Linked DNA regions of Yarrowia lipolytica. The protein of the gene in region 2 interacts with the protein of the main gene of each other region in a pairwise test. Links are inferred from orthologs where the notes say so. Each region holds a gene or a part of one and is shown on either strand. Other genes may lie near its edges.

The links. The genes of interacting proteins can lie anywhere in the genome.
Region 1: the proteins of YALI1_D10600g (region 2) and YALI1_E02377g interact in binary tests that used the Saccharomyces cerevisiae proteins (3 or more experiments, as listed by UniProt). The link is inferred for Yarrowia lipolytica from reciprocal best matches to the Saccharomyces cerevisiae genes ACT1 and AIP1.
Region 3: the proteins of YALI1_D10600g (region 2) and YALI1_B20730g interact in binary tests that used the Saccharomyces cerevisiae proteins (3 or more experiments, as listed by UniProt). The link is inferred for Yarrowia lipolytica from reciprocal best matches to the Saccharomyces cerevisiae genes ACT1 and TCP1.

What each region holds. Positions count from the first base shown.
Region 1 is NC_090774.1:234,468-241,471, forward strand, and holds YALI1_E02377g (uncharacterized protein), read left to right. Parts: upstream 1-3,251; coding exon 3,252-4,997; downstream 4,998-7,004. Other genes in the region: YALI1_E02348g (uncharacterized protein), read right to left, coding at 1-404; YALI1_E02355g (uncharacterized protein), read left to right, coding at 1,036-2,076; YALI1_E02372g (uncharacterized protein), read right to left, coding at 2,270-2,779; YALI1_E02413g (uncharacterized protein), read right to left, coding at 5,677-6,918.
Region 2 is NC_090773.1:1,056,492-1,063,383, forward strand, and holds YALI1_D10600g (actin), read left to right. Parts: upstream 1-3,546; coding exon 3,547-3,553; intron 3,554-3,932; coding exon 3,933-5,053; downstream 5,054-6,892. Other genes in the region: YALI1_D10565g (uncharacterized protein), read left to right, coding at 48-1,526; YALI1_D10623g (uncharacterized protein), read left to right, coding at 5,843-6,892. UniProt on the Saccharomyces cerevisiae protein: Actins are highly conserved proteins that are involved in various types of cell motility and are ubiquitously expressed in all eukaryotic cells.
Region 3 is NC_090771.1:2,070,024-2,076,749, forward strand, and holds YALI1_B20730g (uncharacterized protein), read left to right. Parts: upstream 1-2,984; coding exon 2,985-3,024; intron 3,025-3,082; coding exon 3,083-4,719; downstream 4,720-6,726. Other genes in the region: YALI1_B20709g (uncharacterized protein), read right to left, coding at 727-904, 949-1,046; YALI1_B20717g (uncharacterized protein), read left to right, coding at 1,682-1,729, 1,839-1,924, 2,008-2,449; YALI1_B20765g (uncharacterized protein), read right to left, coding at 6,021-6,563. UniProt on the Saccharomyces cerevisiae protein: Molecular chaperone; assists the folding of proteins upon ATP hydrolysis. Known to play a role, in vitro, in the folding of actin and tubulin. In yeast may play a role in mitotic spindle formation.

The sequences.
Region 1 (7,004 bases), on a different chromosome or scaffold from region 2:
TGGTGTGTTCGGTCCGGTTTGTGTGTCTGGCATTCTGAGCACCATTTGGGCATTCCCCAACCATCGCAGATGTAAGTATCTGGCAGCTTGGGGTTGATCTGCCTTGATACTATAGCCTGAGCCTTTTCGTCCACCACTTCTGATCCTGGAATGAAAATTTGCAAAGGTGACACTCCAGTCACCTTTCCAGGGCCAACAATGACGACGGCGGCCCAGTAGATGAAAACCAGTGTCTTGAGAATGCAATAGACAATCAGGAGAGCCAGCCCTGCCCGGTAGCCCATGTGGTGGTAGAGGTTCCAGCAGAGAATGTAGCAATATGCGTAGGTGCCATATCCCAGGAGTCCGAGAATTACGCCTGGGAAAACGATTCGCAGTGCCTGTCTGAACGCTGCTCTGTTCATTTCATGGTCAAGTGTGCTGGATAAGATGATGAGAATGTAGACAAGGTTCCTGGTGTAAACAACTCTATTGCCAACTGAACACGGGAGCAACCGCACCTTAGGAAGGTCGTACTTGCGGGGTATGAGTGATGTGAGCGGGGTTTTACCAAGTCAGATTCTGAGAACCCACCGGCAAGCCTTTTTGGAAGAATCTGGACAACTCCAAGGAGATTACAGACTGAGTGGCAATTCACCTTTGTAGAGAGACTTCCATGAGCTACCCCTATAGCTACTTAGAGATCGCTGAGTCTTATTTTGAAAGACTTACGGTTGAGACGTGGTAATGAGGCGTTTTAGCCAAAAAGATTTTACCAGAATGACACACAATATCGCATGAGTGATTTTTCAAACTAATCATCATACGAGTAGATACAGTACACACTGTCGTACTGTACGTACCTATAACACATTCCATCTTCAAGCTGCATGTTCTCAGCGTTTATGCATCTGGTTTAGAGCTCAGCGGTTGTCAGGCTAAACTCCCAAATCAAGTTGGGTTTGCTTGCAGCTCATCCAGGTGCTCTTTGGAGCTTATTAGACGGTCAACTTGGCACGATATCATCATCACACCTCCACCACAACAGCTATCAATATGAGTGAAGATGGGGATATATGCCCGATCTGCAAATCCTCGCGGTACCTCAACCCGGATATGAAATTTCTAGTCAATCCTCAATGTTACCACAAAATGTGCGAATCGTGTGTGGATCGACTTTTTGCCTACGGCCCAGTGACATGCCCTCACAATGGCTGCGAAAAGATTTTGCGAAAGAACAAGTTCAAGACCCAGATCTTCGAGGATGTGGCTGTCGAGAAGGAGGTCGATGTACGCCAACGGGTCATGTCGGTCATGAACAAACGAGAAGACGAGTTCGACACGCTGAACGACTACAACGCATATCTGGAAAAGATTGAAGACAGCATCTTCACGCTGTTGAATGGAACCGCTGACGAAAAGGACGCATTGACCAAGGAGATAGAAGCATACGAAAAGGAACATAAGGCCGAGATCATTGCCAACAACAAGCTCCGAGACGAGGAGGACAAGTATGAGCAGCAGAAGGAGGACTGGATGAAGGAACAGAGAAAGGCAAACTACCTCATGGCTGTGGAGGAACAAAGGGCAGCTCAGGAGGATAAGGAGGCTGCCAAGCGAGAACTGGTTCATCAGCTCGCCACTTCCAACAAGGATGCCTCTTCCATCGAGCAGAATGTCCAGAAGACAGCTCTCAAACGATCCTCAGCTCGAACAGTCAACTTCCAACCCATGCCTACATCTCGGTACTTTGAGAAGGTCAAGAAGGAAAGCTCGAAGCCCGAGACGCCCTTCACACCCTTCAACGGTGACAGGCAGATTCCCGCGCTGTTTGAGGTACAGGACCATTACGACGACAAGGTCATCGAGCCTCTGGCCCATGACATTCAGCATCAGGCCGGAGGTTTCACTCTCAAGGCAGCATACGCAAGAATTCTCCAACAGGCCTTTTTTGGTCTAGGTGTGGATGTTCAGACCGAGCTGTTGGCTGAAGAGAATGGCAACAGCAACGGCACAGCAGTACCTGTCAAGACAGAAGAAGACCCGGTCAAGCTGGAAGAGCCATCGATACAGGTCAAGGTGGAATCCACGGTATAACAACAGTATTTATATGCATTATATTTGAACAACAATGAAGTATTTATGACTTGTGTATACTACTTGTAGCAGGTAATTGTACTTATAGCCACGGTACCTGTACAGTAATCAGCTAATAGAATGGTGTTTATACAATGCATTTGTTATGGTTGCCCAAGTTTGTTTTCATAAATACGACCGTCCGCGGCTCCATCTAGCTGAATCCACGTAGCAGAAGAGCTCCAATGGCTGCAGTCTCCACCTGAGCTCTATCATCTAGAGAGACTGTTCCTGGTAACTTGTATACCTTCTTGACGAGCTTGATATCTGTGTTCTTGGCAATCTGCTCGTCAGTAAAGGGCTCTTCGGTTCCCTCAACCAGCTTCGTGTACTCTCCTCCGCCAATCTTGACAGCCACAATGTTTGTGGTATCGTCCTGAATTCCAAATCTCCTTAGAGAGTCCATGATGTTGTTATTCCCTCCCAGACAGAACAGCACCTCTGAGTGTACGTTTTTTGTCTTCATGGAGCCGGCTTCCTGATCGGAAACGGCTCTGTAGACGGCTGCGAGCAGATGCTTGGACGAAAGCAATGTGTTGGCATTAATGAAAGCCACCTGGTAGTCGGGGTTACCGCTTAACAGCTCGTTTCGAATCTGGCCGGCATTCTTGACGTCTGAAAAGTAGGAGATGGCAATCTCCTGGTCGAACTGGGGAAACTTCATGTTGTGGCAGTGAATCACACGATCTGACTAACGTAATGCTTTTGAAGAGTTCGGGTATAGGATAGTCTGGAATTTGATACTCAGCTGTGTGGATTCCAGATACTGGTACTCGTAGGATTTTCCTGCAGATGGTGGAAGATAAACTTCGGAGGTCTTACCACAAGTAAGACGGTGGTTGGTACGTGGGATATATGTGCTGTATTGTGAAAGAAGGGGTTCTACAGACAGCGATTGTTTATGAAACATTCCAGTTGATTTATTAAGCAGCACAAATTTCAAAATTTGCCTCAACTATTGACAGGTATCATTCTACTTGTACAAGTACGTAATGTACAATCATCCTGCCACCACTCCTTCACTCTCCTATTAATAACTCTATCTTCGGTGCTGCATACATCTCCCAGTTGGATACATAAACAGCATCCATCTAAACACCTCAGCACCAATTGTATAATGATTTCTCCAGGTGAGTATGCCAGAGATCCCCGTAAGAAGCCCACTAACGCCAGTTAAAACCTCCGTGGCTTCTCCGGCCACCACCAAGGGAGTTGCCGTGCATCTCTCCTACAACCCCAAGACCAACGAGGTGGCTTACGCCAACACCAAGGCAGTGCTTCTGGTGAATCTCGACAAGCCCAACGAGGCTCGGCAGTTCAATGGCCACATTGCGCCAACCACCGTCGCCAAGTTCTCTCCTTCAGGCTTCTATGTCTGCTCCGGCGATCAGGCTGGCAACGTCAAGGTCTGGGACCCTGTCTCTTTCAACATCAAGTACGAAGCCAAGATCGGCAATGGTCGAATCAACGATCTCAACTGGGATGCTGACTCTCAGCGAATCATTGCTGTGGGCGACGGCACAGAGAGATACGGTCATTGCTTCACTTTCGACACTGGTAACACTGTCGGAGAGATCTCTGGTCACGGAGCTCAGGTCAATGCTGTCGCCATCAAACCCGTTAGACCCTACCGAGCTGCTACCGTCGGCGATGATGCCACTCTCGTCTTCTACAAGGGTCCTCCCTTCAAGTTCGACCACACCGTTAAGCAGCAGCACAGCAACTACATCCACGACGTTGCTTTTTCCCCTGATGGAAAGTGGCTTGTTTCGGTTGGAGCTGACAGAAAGGCCGTTCTTTATAACCAGGATGGTGAGCCCGTCAAGACTATTGACGCACATGGCGGCTCCATTTACTCCGTCTCCTGGGCCCAGGATTCCACCCACTTCGCTACCGCCTCTGCAGACAACACTGTCAAGGTCTTTGATGTCGAGGGTAAAGAGATTGACACATTCAAGTTTGACCAGTTCCAGGTCGGTGTAGTCTGGGCTGGCGATTCCCTTGTGTCAGTTGGACTGGACGGCACCCTGTCCTTCTCCTCTGTGAGCATAGATGCCCTGTCCAAGCTGTCTTTGACTGAGTCCAAGGTCATTGCCCACCAGCAGCCCATTTCTGCTGTCGAGACTCTCAAGGGCAAGATATACTCTGGCTCTGTTGACGGATCCATTCTCGAGTGGACCGGTGACAAGGCCTCTCCTTCTGACGCCTCCCACTCTACTTACATTGTCTCTCTCAGTGACTGTGATGGAAGCCTGGCATCAGTTGCTTGGGATGATACTTACAAGCTCAACAACACAGTCTACTCGATCGGCACCCAGCCCAAGGCTGCCGATTCTCGAGGTTCTCTCTCTGCCATCGTGACTGAGAACACTCTGCACATCCTTGATAGCGGTAAGCTTGTCAAGAAGGTTTCTATTGATCGGGGCTCTGCTGTTGCTATTGCTGACCAGGTTGTTGTGGGATCTAAGTCGGGAGAGCTCTCTGTCTACTCTACAACCGGTGAGAAACAGTTTGATCTCCCTCCTCTTCGTGCTGCTGCCACAAAGCTTGCTCTTAGTGAAAATGGTAACCTTCTTGCTGCTGGCGAGTCCACTGGTAAGATTATCCTATACGACCTTTCAACTAAGTCTGTTGTCACCTCTCGATGGACCTTCCACACCGCTCAGATCAACGATATTGACTGGCTTGGAAACGAGTACATTGCCTCTGTTTCTCTGGACACAAACATTTACATTTACTCCGTCAAGACCCCCATGAAGAACCTCAAGTCTCTGAACGCTCACAAGGAGGGAGCCACCGCAGTGCGATGGCTGGCAAACAACGAAATCGTCACTGGTGGTGCTGATGCTGTTCTCAAGTGGTGGTCTGTTGAGCTTAGCTAAAGGACATAACACTGTACAAGTACAAGTAGACGAAATTCATGAATCAATGCAACACACTATTATTATATATGCTTGTCTCGAAGACTAAGCCATGCATGTCTAAGTATAAACGATTAGCGCGTCTACTTGTAGCTCATGACTATGCAGGTTTCTACTGTAATTAAACTATAAATACAAGTACATACTGTATGTACTGTAGCCTTGTATTCTATGTATTTGTTAGGACACAGGCCCGGACTTCGGTTGGTTTGTGGTTTGACAGGTAATGCCGGCGACTTGCCTATGGCAAGTCGTTGAGCAAATACTCGTGTTGAAAGGGTCAATAATCGATATCCTAAATATATGGGAAATGAGAGCTATATATAATAATGGCACCGGACCAACTGACGGATCTGTAACTCGGCGGTCGAGTCCTGGGGGACTCGATCGACCCCTACGGTAGTGGGTCTTTGACCGGAAGGGTGACTACAAGGATCCCCAATAGAGAGTTGACAGATAATCAAGCACCGACGACTGTCGACGGTCCTTATGCCACAGGCACAAGAAACACCAAAAGAAGATCGTTTCCTAACAGGCGACCATCATAGTAAAACAGCACGAGAGCGCTGACGACCAACAGTCTTCTGGTGCTAAGCTTAAAATACTGAATAAATCGATTTGTATGTATGTATGTATGTTGTTATCGGTCGCCCATGTATTTGAGGTACTGAGGAAGACAGTTTTCAGGCATCAGAGAATCCTTGAGATCGTCTGTGGTGAATCGACCAGGCTTGCATCCATGACACTTTTTGGACTTGGGGCAATTGAAATAGGGGAAGTGGTAATATCCAATGTCCTTGAACCAATGGATTTGTGACTGGTTAGCAAATAGTCCTGCGCCGACAGAGTGCACGGGAGCATCTCCCCATCTCTCGTAAAAGAACCCTCCCTGTTTATCCAGATGCTCAAACCATTGGGCGTATGCATCGCCCCTGAAGAACTTCAGAGACGCGATTTCAAAGTTGGACCAGAAATGGCAAGTGGAGTATCCGCCAGCCTGGGCGTTCCAGTCTGGTCTGCTGGGGTTCAGCAAGAATTGCATGGCATTGTCTTTGTGCAGATACTCCTTGTTCTTCATCAAGAAGGATTTAGTTTCCGGCCATAGGGTGGCAACGGTTTTGGGGTTGTCAAACAATGCAATGGTGAAGCCATACACCTTGTCATTGTCCTCCATGTATGCAAATACATCGTAGTCGATGTCACAATAGTATTGGGTGTCGGGTTCAACGCGCCAGTACCAGTCATAATCGTCCATGGCCTTGTGCTTGTAGAACATACCCGAGTTCCATCTGCACATCTTGTGGTAGGAGTCCATGGCACCATATCGTACACCAGCATCTTCCAGCTTCTTGCCGGCCTTCTTGGCCTTGTCCTTGTCGATCCATCTGGGGGCGTCCCAGTCCTTCTTTTCAATCAGCTCAAACTTGACTTCAGAGTCAGTCTGTTCGCGCACCTTTTCCTTGAACTCGTCGGTGAACTCTTCATCATTGAAAAAGATCCAAGGGTAGCCGAATTTGTGATTGAATGTGTCCTCGACCTGCACCATGGCATCCACAATACCGTCCAGCTCTTTGTTTCGAACAAGAGAGATAAGAGCGGCTTTAGTTCGCCGCGTGTCAGTGGCGCGAACAAGAGGCTTGGCACTGACAGGCTCGTCCACCTCTTCAAGCAGGGGATTGTTCTTCGGCGTTAAGTCCTCTTTTGGTTCCGTATATTGCAGGAATGCATCGTTGGGTTGCTTGTAGATGCTCTCCTCTTTCAAGAAGTCCGCATGTGTTCTGGTCCAGTCATCTTGTAACGAGAAGTAGATCAGGAACACGAGCAGACCGAGCGAAGCCGTCACCAGCAGCAGGAATAGTCTTCTGACTATCAGCGGGGTCATATTGTTAGGATGTGGTCCTGTCTCAATCGATTATAGTTAATAAACCTGTCGCGACACGCGAACACTAATCTAGTGTGGGCGTTGTA
Region 2 (6,892 bases):
GCACGTCACTCTTCCCTTACTGTCCCACACCCATCAACACGTTAACAATGTCAGTACAGTCAGTAATGGACGTCCTCAGGGACATTCAGGCCAACCCCACAGACGCAAAGGCCATGGAGCAGCTCGTCAAACAGGTGTCTGCTCTCGAGGCGGCCTCAAAGACCCCTGCCCAGACTACAAAGACCCTCACCCCACCCATGTTGCCAGCAGACGACGAGGACACAGAAATGGAGACAGACAAGCCCTTTGTCACGCCTCTGTCGCCCCCCAAATACGAGGGACGAGTCATTCTCACCACCTACCCCGGACAGAGTGGCGTCAAGCCCATTCCTCTAAGATGGGGCGCAGAGGACCCCAAGGTGCGAGGTCCCATTGTTGTGGCCCGTGATCAATCGTCGTTCAAGCAGCGAAATGCCATCGGAGCCCACCACGGATCGTATGGTATCTACCACGCACTGGCTGTTGCCACCAACGACCTGCCCGTTACACACAGAGCAGACTATACCAACGCCTATCCTCTGCACACCTTTGGACCCCACCCCCAATGGTCCGACCCCAAGAAGATTGTGGCTATGGACCCTTATGGTCATCTAGCTCCCTGGCTCTTTCATGAGACGATCGCGGAAGGAGTTGTAGTCAAGCCCACCATCGCTGTTACTCGTGCGCAGATGCAACTAGCCGAAATCAGAGACGAGGTCAGAGACGGAACCATGGAGGTTGATGGCGAAATTGTGCTCAATAAGAGCGGAGATCTCGCGGTCACCAAGGTGGCCGTGGAGCCCGTGTGGTATCTGCCCGGAGTCGCCGAGCGATTCGGAATCACGGAGGGGGAGCTTCGACGTGCCCTGTTCGAGGACACTGGAGGAATGTACCCCGAGCTGGTTACCCGACCAGACATCAAGGTCTTCCTACCTCCCATCGGAGGCCTGACGGTGTACATTTTCGGCGACCCAGACCGAGTTTCGGACCCCTCCAAGAAGTTGGCTCTCCGAGTCCATGATGAGTGTAACGGATCCGACGTGTTTGGCTCCGATATCTGCACTTGCCGACCCTACTTGACCTTTGGTATTTCCGAAGCAGTCAAGGAGGCCCAGAAGGGTGGCTCGGGAGTGGTCATCTACTTCCGAAAGGAGGGACGAGCTCTGGGCGAGGTGACGAAGTACCTAGTGTATAATGCGCGAAAGCGAGGAGGCGACTCAGCTGCCACGTACTTTAAGCGAACGGAGAACATTGCCGGAGTTAAGGATATGCGATTCCAGGCACTGATGCCCGACATTTTGCATTTCCTGGGTATCCAGAAGATTGACCGAATGCTGTCCATGTCCAACATGAAGCACGACGCCATTGTGGAGCAGGGTATCCCCATCCACGAGCGTGTGCCCATTCCCGACGAGATGATTCCTCCGGACTCTCGAGTCGAGATCGATGCCAAGATTGCGGCTGGCTATTTCACCACCGGCGCCGTCATGTCTGAGGAGGAGCTCAGTGGCGTCAAGGGTCGAACCTGGGACGATGTTGTGCATTAAGGGGTTAGATAGTAGCATGTATAACAGATATAATTATAGCAGATAAAAAAAAAGTAGTGGAGATGTGGTCACTGGGAGGTAATGAGTGCCCCTCAAGGTAATGGTATGATGAATTGTACGGTATGTATGGCGTAAAAGTACAGCTGTAGAGTATGTGAGGTGCGGGCGTTTATTTACTGGTACTTGTATGTCTGCCGGTTAAGAGCTGTTATGCAAGACATGAGGAGCGCTTTACCCAGATATAGAAAGAGATTGCCCTGTAATACTTGTATATACCGGTAATTAGGTGGCAATTGACACGCGCATTTCCATATCTTCGCCCAATTGAGTGCTTATATCGTTATCACAGTGCACAGGCTCCAAGTGTTTACTCACGATGTTTACGGTGAGGGAAGCACGTACATACTGTATAGGATGCGACCATACAGGAAACTTCTTCTTACCATATCGACGTTTCGGAATGTGTCTGACATGGACAAGTGGAGGGCACTGGGCGCTTTTTGGTCCAACCGTTGGAAAGTACAAGACGGGGTTTGGTGCTACTGTACGTGTACTTGATAGATAGTTGCGCTACGGCACGATACAATGTACGAGTATGTGCAGAGTGCAGTTGATATCGCCACGTACTGCATGTGGGTTGCTGTACACTGCGGGGCACGGCCTGACAACCCCGTTTCTGCTCGTACTCGTACCGGAACATGGACCAAATATAGCTCTGAGAGATTATGTGGGTTGCGGCAGGCAATTTCACCGGAGTTAAGCATCGCCGAGATACGAATAAGGTGTAAAGGGGCGGCATTTTGGGACGAGCACTTTGGGACGTCCACGAGGTAAACAGACACAAGCCACCCGCGATAACCTTGAGTTTGGGCTATTCAGACAGAGCTGTGCCCAGAGAGGCGGGGAATGAGCTCTTTCCAGATGTTTGCGCAGCGTTCTCTCTCAACTTATCTCCGTCGCTTGCTTTCCATAACGCGCGAATCACATGTCAAGGGCCAGGGTTTTACCCGATCCCAAACATTGACCAACCTTGTTTGGTAGATGGGGGGGAAGCGAACCGGCAATATTCCACAATGTGCTGGCATTTACTTGTGCTGGCAAAAGAGGCACAAAGAATACTTGTAGTCGGAGCCACTCACTGTCCCACAAATAGCTCCCCGCTGTCAATCTCTCCTGCACCGCCTGCTCACATGGATGCTAAGCCGCACTAGGTCGCATATATGGCTCTGCACTAAAAATTAGGGGTCAACCACAGTGCGGTATTTTTAGATTCGCACCAAGCAGCGAGTAAGCAAAAATACGCCTACCGGGGTCCGATATTATTCAGGAGGTGCCATTAGAGGAGGGCAGATGAGAGTCGGATATCGGAGATATTACCGAGGCTATAATTACCCCATCCACGCCTTTCACCCCTCCCACTCTCTCCCTCACCGCACACCAACCCACCACTTTCAAAATATACCGCAACATTGACATAATCTCCGGTACAGTGGTTAGCACCGAGAGGACCCCAAAAAGCTTGGGGGAGATAGAGGTAGGCTTTTTTTTGTCAGTCAAATCGTATATGCCAATACACACACACACACACACACACACACACAGTTTCGTACATAACAGTATATTGGAAGGGAGTGTGCTTGGCAAAGACAGGAGAAGACGGTGCTGTTAGAGGGCAATCCAGACGGGCTAGAGCTCTGTAACTTTCGGATCGATTTCAATTCCTCTAGAATACCAAATACCAGTGGTTAAGCGGCTCATTTACCAGTCCTAATACCCCCTCCACCAGCCACCTTCCCCTATTCCTCGGCAGTGCTTTTTTACCTTTGAGATGTGGCCTTGTCTCCGTTACTTCCCAACCGTGAGTGCTGTGTGGTGTGCTGGACAGTGCGACATAACTAACCCTAACCCAGACGAGCCAGCGCACCCCAATTTTGTGTTTGCCAACTCCTACTTTTCTCCTCTCCTCCATCGGTATTTCATCGACAAATCTCTTTGCTACCAACAACCACACAAATTAAAAATGGAAGGTGAGTACTACCAATGCCATCGATGGCACAGCGGGCTTTGCCATCATCGATTGTCTGGATTGATGGCGAGTCGGTCCCTGGATTGGACACAAAACCACAAATGGCGCTTTCTCCCCAGCGACAAGTCATCACCACCAACATGGCGACCAAAGCCACGGGCCAGCAAGCGAATCAATCCATCATCGAACGGATGGAGCTGCGAGAGCGCTTGCGAGCCCAGAGCGTCCGTCTTGCCGTTGGGCACCTTCGCGCTTTGCGATGACGTGTCACCACACTGATAATGTCGCATGCTGCCGCGCATGACCCAACCAGCCCCCGGAAAAGCGCAATCCATCAGCAATCAATCAATCCATCAAATAACCACACCATACTAACCTAGACGAAACTGTTGCCCTCGTTATCGATAACGGATCCGGTATGTGCAAGGCCGGTTTCGCCGGTGATGACGCTCCCCGAGCTGTTTTCCCCTCCATCGTCGGTCGACCCCGACATCAGGGTGTCATGGTCGGCATGGGCCAGAAGGACTCCTATGTTGGTGATGAGGCCCAGTCCAAGCGAGGTATCCTGACCCTCCGATACCCCATCGAGCACGGTATTGTTACCAACTGGGATGACATGGAGAAGATCTGGCACCACACCTTCTACAACGAGCTCCGAGTTGCTCCTGAGGAGCACCCCGTCCTGCTCACCGAGGCCCCCATCAACCCCAAGTCCAACCGAGAGAAGATGACCCAGATCTTCTTCGAGACTTTCAACGCTCCCGCTTTCTACGTCTCTATCCAGGCCGTCCTCTCCCTGTACGCCTCTGGTCGAGTCACCGGTATCGTTCTTGACTCTGGTGATGGTGTCACCCACGTTGTGCCCATCTACTCTGGTTTCTCTCTCCCCCACGCCATCATGCGACTCGATATGGCTGGCCGAGATCTTACCGACTACCTCATGAAGATTCTCTCCGAGCGAGGTTACTCTTTCACCAACTCCGCCGAGCGAGAAATCGTCCGAGACATCAAGGAGAAGCTCTGTTACGTTGCTCTCGACTTTGAGCAGGAGCTCCAGACTGCCTCCCAGTCCTCTTCTCTCGAGAAGTCCTACGAGCTTCCCGATGGCCGAGTCATCACCATCGGTAACGAGCGATTCCGAGCTCCCGAGGCCCTCTTCCACCCCTCCATGCTGGGTCTTGAGGCTGCTGGTATCCACGAGACTACTTTCAACTCTATCATGAAGTGTGATGTTGATGTCCGAAAGGATCTCTACGGAAACATTGTCATGTCCGGAGGTACCACCATGTACCCCGGTATTGCCGAGCGAATGCACAAGGAGATCTCCGCTCTTGCCCCCACCTCCATCAAGGTCAAGATCACCGCTCCCCTCGAGCGAAAGTACTCCGTCTGGATTGGTGGTTCCATTCTTGCTTCTCTTGGTACTTTCCAGCAGATGTGGATCTCCAAGCAGGAGTACGACGAGGCCGGACCCACCATTGTCCACCGAAAGTGTTACTAAGTGTGGTGATTGCTGTTGTGCAAGCCTTTGCTCGTTTTCTGCTGTATGTAATTTAAAGAACGATTGTATGAATCGAAGTCAAGGTGAGTGTAGTTTGAGAAGTGTAACCCCAGTGTCATAGCTGTGTACTCCATTCATTGAAGGGTGTAGTCGTGTTTTATTGCATGAGCTCCTATTACTCGTATAAGTAACTGTTTTGTAACACTTCATGAACGGAGATGGTATGAACAGAAGTAATAATATCCTGGAAGTCAGCTGTGCCCAGAGGTGTGTGTGGGTGTGGCATACTTTGGGACAACAACACTTGGGCAGTATGCTTAGTGACCACGAAGAGAGTGTTACCTTCTGAGGTGCGACGTGCAGTAGTTCTATTGTTTTTAAATGCGCAGTCGTCTTTCAGAGGCTGATTCAAGCAGACGCATTCAGTTGTGTTCAGTTGAGGCTGATATCTCAGCACCTACAGTTTAGGGAAAGCAGGGTTAAGATGATGACAACTCTGGGTGGTAACCTGGGATATGCGGCGATATAGCAGGTAATGACTTAATAACTGCTCAATGATGAGTATATACATCCCTCCTATCTATATATCCATATTTAGTATTTACATATTCATCTTCACCGAGCTACAAGTAGAAGGATGTACATGCTGTATCTTGCGGTGCCTGTCGCCATGTTTTCGACAAGTTAAGTTCGGAGTATGCATGCAAACAAAAATACAAGTAGTCAAAATATTGGAGTATCAAACAACGTGCTTCGAAATCTCTTCCATCCGCACAACTACCAAACGACATGGTGGCGAAAACGTTTCGAGAGGAGCCCGTCGGCGGCACCCATCAACAAGTGGAATACTTGTTTCCCAACGTGGAGATTGATGGCTCGAAATTGATCACGAAAAAGGTGGTGGACGAAAGAAAGCGAAAACTGGAATCTGACGATGCCGAGGAGGTGTTTCTGCGACGCTACGTGTCCAAGGAAGGGCAGATGTTCCAGAGCTCGACCAATGGCGAGTTTTCTGTGCGCTTCTTCGACGAGTCGCACATCATGGAGGTGACTGGAGTGAATCACGATCGCAAGAGTGTGCGTATCTATTTTCCCGAGGGACTACAGAACCATTGCACGTGTGTGACTGAAAAGGATGGGGTTCTTTACATTGATTCCATTTCAAACAGCTTTCTGCTGTACAGCGTGAAGCTGCCATTTGCTCTGTTCAATGAGGACAACACCGAGCATTACGACACCTCACGGTTCTTTCAGCAGCAGGAGGACTACGGCATTCGAAGCCGAAAGCCGCTTCTTCTCAAGTCGCTCAAGGGCCAGTCCAACGAACTTGTGCTATCTTTATGCGACGGAGGACTCATGAAATTGGAACGACAAGAGAAGAACGGCCTGTTTCTGACATCGTTATTTTCCGACCCCTCGTATCTCACGAGCCTCAAGGACCGGTTCTTCAGCAAGGACAAGATTGCGTCCATGCCGCATCTCAGCATCCACGCTATTATCTCTATGACAAACTTTGAGAACCACCTGTTGACCGTGTCTGTCAACCAGACTCTCAAAAAGTGGGATCTGAATACTCTCACCGGCACAGAAATCAAGTTTGACAGCGACAAGAGCAAACTCGACACTGAGCCTGTCACTCGAGTGTGTGCGTCGGGCGAGTTCTTCATCACCTTTTGTGGAGAAACCATCTACTTCTGGGATCAAAACTTCGTCCAGGTCTTCTCGTCCAAGATCCCAGACATTGGACTATGGTCGCTAAAGGACATGGCGTTCCGTCAAAACGAGGGTCAGTTCGAGGTCTCCACCGTGTGGATGTCTGGTGTGTCCCACGTTGTCAAG
Region 3 (6,726 bases), on a different chromosome or scaffold from region 2:
GGGGAGTGTGAGAGGAGGATGAGAATTGGAATAAACTGATAGAACATTAATTGATTTATTATTTATATGATACAAGTAGTAGAATGTATAGCTGGTGTAAAATGAATGTGTATTGAGCGCGTGAGTATCAAGCCGACCACGCAACTGTAGCAGTAGAGACGTGAAGGTGCAACGCGAAAGTGGTAAACATTGGTGGGAGTGCTTACTGAGACATTCGAGGGTAGGACTTACGACAGAAGCCAAGTATAAGCGACTTACAACATAACTGTGCTACAAGTACAATAGTACGATCCCTAAGATTCCATCTCATAGTTGCTTGACGTGCACATTGTACAATAAGTAATTAACCCACCTGGATTGTGCAGCTGTGCTGTCGTTGCGACGGCAATAATCCAGTATGTACTGTACACCCACTACAAGTACTGTACCTGTAGTGTGTCTTTAAAGATCCGTGGAGTAGTTTAACAGTATTTACAGTACGTCCACAATGCATGTTAGAGGTATAAACAGTTTAGTGGCTCTGGTTCAAATTGCAAGGAGAAAGAGAACTTCCACGCTACTCATGATGCTTTGGTCTTGGCCGTATTGGGCGTGCACATCTATGGGGGAATAGGGTATAATTATTGCTGTTTCATCGTTGCTAGCGGCTGCGTACGATAGCTGTAACAGCGGCTGGTTGTATAATTAACTAACCCCCTACCGTAGAATTTTATGTTTGATTCAAGATTATGAGTGCTGGTCAGAGTTTACGAAGTTCATCGTAGGTACTGTACTTACAGTAGACTGGTACGCGTGCTGACAAGGGATCGTGTCTGTGGAGTGATGTGGCGTGAGGGGAGTTCGGGAAAGATAGTGGGCCATACAAGAGGGTGGTAGTACCGTGATAACGTAGTGTATGGTGGAACTTGGGCTGTTCATAGGGGGTGTTTAATAAACATTGTACGCTACTGTACCTGTAAGTACTGCACCGACCCGCGCACTAACCCGACACAAGAAATGTGCCTCATTGGCCTTGGGCTTATCAGTGAGTGATGTGGCCTATGCATGAGCGAATGGGTTGTGTGGCATAGATGTTTTGACGCTGACTGCTACGTAGCACGTAGTATAGAGGACGGCGTCAGTTTGCGGAATGTAAACGGAATGTGTGCGTGTTTGAATAGTAATAATATCCGGTCCAGTTGCCCCACGCGACAGTTTTCCCCTGTTGGCCTATTATGTCCTTTATGCCCTTGAAGTACAGTTTCCAGCTCCCCTGGGACGATTCGATTAGGGGACTTAGTTTTGGCAACGTCAGTGGGAGGGGAGAGGTGGGGCACTCGTAAGTCACAGACGGCAATAGGCGGTGGAAATATACAGAGTATTCGATGGTAGAGAAACGACTTTCTCAGACGAGAAGATTTCACAAGCCCTCGTATTCCGCGCCCCCTGGCTCACGATACACCACAGAAGCGCTCCGTGGCACACCTTTGTGCATAAAAAAGCATAGGCTTCTGTAAGCAGCCTTCTCGTTTGACACCCAAATCCGAAACCCTGTCGCACAGCACAACTCACCACCTCACATATCACACTCCACACATACACACCCACACAACACACCCACATTCTCACACTCTCACGCCCCCACCACGCTCCTTGAACAAGCTCCCGCCCTAGCCCGTGCACAGACCCTCAAAAAGATAAAATGCAGACCATAAAATGTGTTGTTGTCGGCGATGGTGCCGTCGGAAAGGTGAGTATAAAGACAAAACGCCAATTATCAAGGTTCTCGTGCTCCGCCACGATCACGATGTCGTTCTGGACGATGGATTAATGGCCCTGGAGAGCTCCTACTAACGCAGACTTGTCTCCTCATCTCATACACAACAAACAAGTTCCCCTCTGAATACGTTCCCACCGTTTTTGACAACTATGCCGTGACTGTCATGTGAGTATAACGCGTCGCATTCTGCAAGAAACCAAGCCCCCCCCCCCCCCCCCCCAAGCAACGAATCGAGATACTAACCCCAGGATTGGAGACGAGCCCTACACACTCGGACTGTTTGACACCGCCGGTCAGGAGGATTACGACCGACTGCGACCTCTTTGTTACCCTCAGACCGATGTTTTCCTCGTCTGCTTTTCCGTCACCTCTCCCGCCTCCTTTGAGAACGTCAAGGAGAAGTGGTTCCCTGAGGTCCACCACCACTGCCCCGGCGTGCCTTGCCTCATTGTTGGTACCCAGGTTGATCTGCGAAGTGACAGGATGATTCTTGACAAGCTTTCCCGACACAAGCTGCGACCCATGACCACTGAGCAAGGCTACCAGCTCGCCCGAGAACTCGGTGCCGTCAAGTACGTCGAGTGTTCTGCCCTTACTCAGAAGGGTCTCAAGGACGTTTTCGACGAGGCCATCGTGGCAGCTCTTGAGCCTCCAGTGGTCAAGAAGAACAAAAAGTGCATTGTGCTCTAGTTTTTGCATGCTAATGGGTTAACACAACGAAAAATGAATCAAAGCAAGAAAAAAATGTTTCAAGATATGTTTATTGTAGTAGAACTGGGCTTGGATTGTGTCTACAGGGCCTCCGTGAGGGAACCTCAAAACAAAGCATCACTATGCGTTTCAAGCCTCGAGATGCCACCTGATGTCTGTAGTTACCCCATTTTTGACATATATATTATTGAATATCCAAAGGTAGAACCTGACGCGTGCTTGTAGTGCTGCAGTGGTGTATTATTTCCCCTGTTGGGTCATCATTACACGATAAGTACAAGTACGGATAGCTTCCGCCTCTACAATTAAAAGACACGCCCCACCCTTATTAAGCCAGCACATCGCTCAGGCAGATGTTTGAGTCCCGAACTCTATCCTAAGAAATCCATCGAAAAATAGTGGGTGTGCGTACAATACCCTAATATCTACCTTGGTGCAGAAAATCTAATCAGAACCTACCAGAACTACACATCTACACTCACGACATTGACGTTGTACTACGACCCTTACAACTATGTCCACCATGTACAATTCCCAACCGTCGGACACTTTGTGTGAGTATTTGCGCTGGACTGTCGCCACCCGTGCATCCGAAGTTCCCTTCTAACCCAGTCCTTAACGGAGAGAAAATCTCAGGCCTTGAAATCGGCAGCCAGAACGTTCTGGCCTGCCAGGCCATTGCCAACGTGGTCAAATCGTCTCTTGGTCCCGTTGGTCTCGACAAGATGCTTGTCGACGACATTGGAGATGTCACCGTGACCAACGATGGTGCCACCATTCTGGCTTTGCTTGATGTCCAACACCCCGCCGGTCAGATTCTCGTGGAGCTGGCACAGCAGCAGGACCGAGAGGTTGGAGATGGAACCACCTCTGTCGTGATCATTGCCAGTGAGCTGCTTCGTCGAGCCCACCAGCTCGTCAAGGTCAAGGATGTCCACCCTACTACGATTATCACTGGTTACCGACTCGCTCTGCGAGAGGCTCTGCGGTTCATCAATGAGGTCATGAGCGTCCCCGTCGAGTCGCTGGGCAAGGACACCTTTGTCAACATTGCCAAAACCTCGATGTCCTCCAAGATCATTGGATCCGACTCCGACTTTTTCGCTAACATGGCTGTTGATGCCCTGCTGGCCGTCAAGACCACAAACTCGCGTGGGGAGGTTAAGTACCCCGTCAAGGCTGTCAACATTCTCAAGGCCCACGGTAAGTCCGCTCTGGAGTCCGTTCTTGTCAAGGGATACGCTCTCAACTGCACTGTCGCTTCCCAGGCCATGAAGACCCGAATCCCCAACGCCAAGATTGCCGTGCTGGATATGAACCTGCAAAAGGCTCGAATGGCCATGGGCGTGAACATCACTATCGATGACCCCGAGCAGCTGGAGGCCATCCGAAAGCGGGAGTTCGACATCGTTCTGGAGCGAATCCGAAAGATTTTGGCTGCTGGCGCAAACGTCATCCTCACCACCAAGGGTATCGATGATCTGTGTCTCAAGGAGTTTGTGGAAGCTGGTGCGATGGCCGTCCGACGATGCAAGAAGGAGGATCTGCGACGAATCGCTCGAGCTACTGGAGCCACCATGATCTCTGACATGTCCAACCTCGAGGGAGAGGAGGTCTTCGAGTCCTCTTACCTTGGCCAGGCCGAAGAGGTTGTTCAAGAGCGAATTGCCGACGACGAGTGCATTCTCGTCAAGGGCACCAAGGCCCACCCCTCTTCCTCCATCATTCTGAGAGGCTCCAACGAGTACCAGCTTGACGAGATGGAGCGATCCATCCACGACGTTCTGTCTGTCGTCAAGCGAACTTTGGAGAGCGGTTACGTCGTTCCCGGAGGAGGAGCTGTCGAGGCTGCTCTGAACGTCTACCTGGAGATTTTTGCCACCTCTCTGGGCTCCCGAGAGCAGCTGGCTATCTACGAGTTCGCCAACGCTCTTTTGCAGATCCCCAAAACCCTGGCGGTCAACGCCGCCAAGGACTCGTCAGACCTGGTTTCCAAGCTGCGAGCACGACACGCCCAGTCGCAGACTGCCGCTCTCACAGACACCAAGCGACGAAACTACAAAAACTGCGGCCTGGACCTGATCCGAGGCAAGATTGTGGACTCTCTCAAGGCTGGCACCATCGAGCCTACCGTTTCCAAGTGCAAGTCTCTCAAGAGTGCGCTTGAGGCGTGCATTTCCATTCTGCGAATCGACACCATGATCAAGGTGCAGCCTGAGGAACAGAAGGAGGACCCCCACGATCATTAGAATATAGAAATTTAGGGTTGGATATGGACATAGCGCATATGTGAACGAGATTAATAAAACGATTATGAGTGCTTGTAGGTGGTATGGCCATCTATTTGGACGTGTGGGAAGCTGAGTGTTCAGTGAGGGTCTGTGCGTTCTGGAACATTCCTTGCTATGGAGCTTAATTGGTTCCATCTTGGCGTTTCTGTGCTACTTCGACGAAGTAAAGGCGATTGTATTCTTGGTTGCGCCGTACTAAACAATGGTTTGTGTTCCCATGCTACTGTCGCGGCGGTGATTGAGCTTGGGAACCTCAATTTCAGACAAAGGAATTTTTCCTCCGTTCGTGCATAAAAGCTTAAATTCCACCCTCAAAATTCATCAAAATTCATCGAAATCCACCTTTTTCGCTGGCAAAAGACAGACAAAACAGCTCGAAATTGTATGTAAACCTTAAAAATACTTAGAGAAATTCTCAATTTCTCAATCAATACAAGCTTCTGGCCCATCAAGTCAGCTCAGCACATCAATTCCATTGAAACCATCTATAGCAAAACAGTACAAAATACGAGGAGACTTAGTGATGACGGCTGCCAATCATGGATAACCCGTCTCTGCTGCCGCCCAGTCCCGGCCTCGTGGGGGTGCCGCTGGGGGAGCCAGCCTCTCTTCCAACTAGTTCAAGCATGCCATGGTCAGCCAGGAGCCTTTGGGCATTCTGGAGCGCCTCTGCTGATGGCAGATTCAGCTTCAGGAAGAAGCCAGTCTGTGATGTGGGTGTCTCGTAGGGAGTCATGGTATCCTGCTGTGCCAGTGAAAACACATTATCGGGGGTATCCTGGATCCAGGACGCGGAGCCGGGGGTATCAAAAAGACTAAGGGTACCGACGGAACCAGGGACATCTGAGACAGCGAAGGTGAAATGGTGTCCACAGCGACGTCGAAGCAACCGGGACCGCCGCAATCATCGTCAGAAATGACAACGAGGTCAAGGTAGCGACCAGGCTGTTAGAAAGGGGTATCAAAGACGCCAGAGAGCGGGGACGGGAGAGCGTTTACAGCAACGGGTTCTGGAGACACAGTGGGTGGTCTTTGCCCTAAAACTTGACTGCTCCTTCGACTCTTCATCCGGTTGACCTTTGTCGCCTCCGTTGTTATTCGCAGACTGATTGTCAAACTGAACGTCCTCAGAACATTCCCAAGCACCCTTATAACATGTCCAAGCACCCTCATAACATGGCCAAGCCCATGGATTGTAAACTGCTCCAGGTATGTGGCTGCAATCCTTAGGGCTGTTGTCGTACGTTTTGGAGTTTCGTTTAATCGCATATCCAGCTGTCCAGTTGGCGCGCATCTCTAGCTGTTTGTCGTGTTCCTTGACCGACCGAGGAGTGTTGATCTCTGGAGAAGACGCCGAGTTCGTGCACCATTTCCTCCTCGGTAATCTCTCCCTTTTCAACTCTCTCTTCAAGCTGGACACGCATATTTCCGAGGGCATCAGCTTTGGCTCTGGGGGCATGCTTTCTGCCAGAGATGTTTTCAAATTCTCTTTTCCTCTTTTGGGGTACCCGAGCTGGTGGATTTCTTGGTTTCACATAGTCGTGGAGAACCTGCTTCACCACCTCATCGGAGACGGAATAGTGGGGCTGATCGGGAGCTCGTTCAGGCGCTTCAAGGGGATCAATATCGCTATCTGAAGCATCAAGATCCCACATTTCAGTATCGGATGTTTCATTATGGGGTATCGCTAACGTGGGTGTCGCTGCCGCAGGTATCATCGCTACAGCTGTGAGTATCGCTGAGCCGGGGCCGTTTGGTGACTCTTGGGTGCCGTCGTGAGATGTCTCGGCTCGAGGTATCATTTCAGGTATCAATCAACTTGGCTGTGTATCTTTCTGTCGAGTGCTACGTCTCGTTGCGATTATCGAGTAGGAGGGTGTCATAGAATTGCCTAGCTACGACCACCTACAGACACAAATCCACCCTGCCACACTCCGAATGTGAGGACCGACCTTGCATAAAACC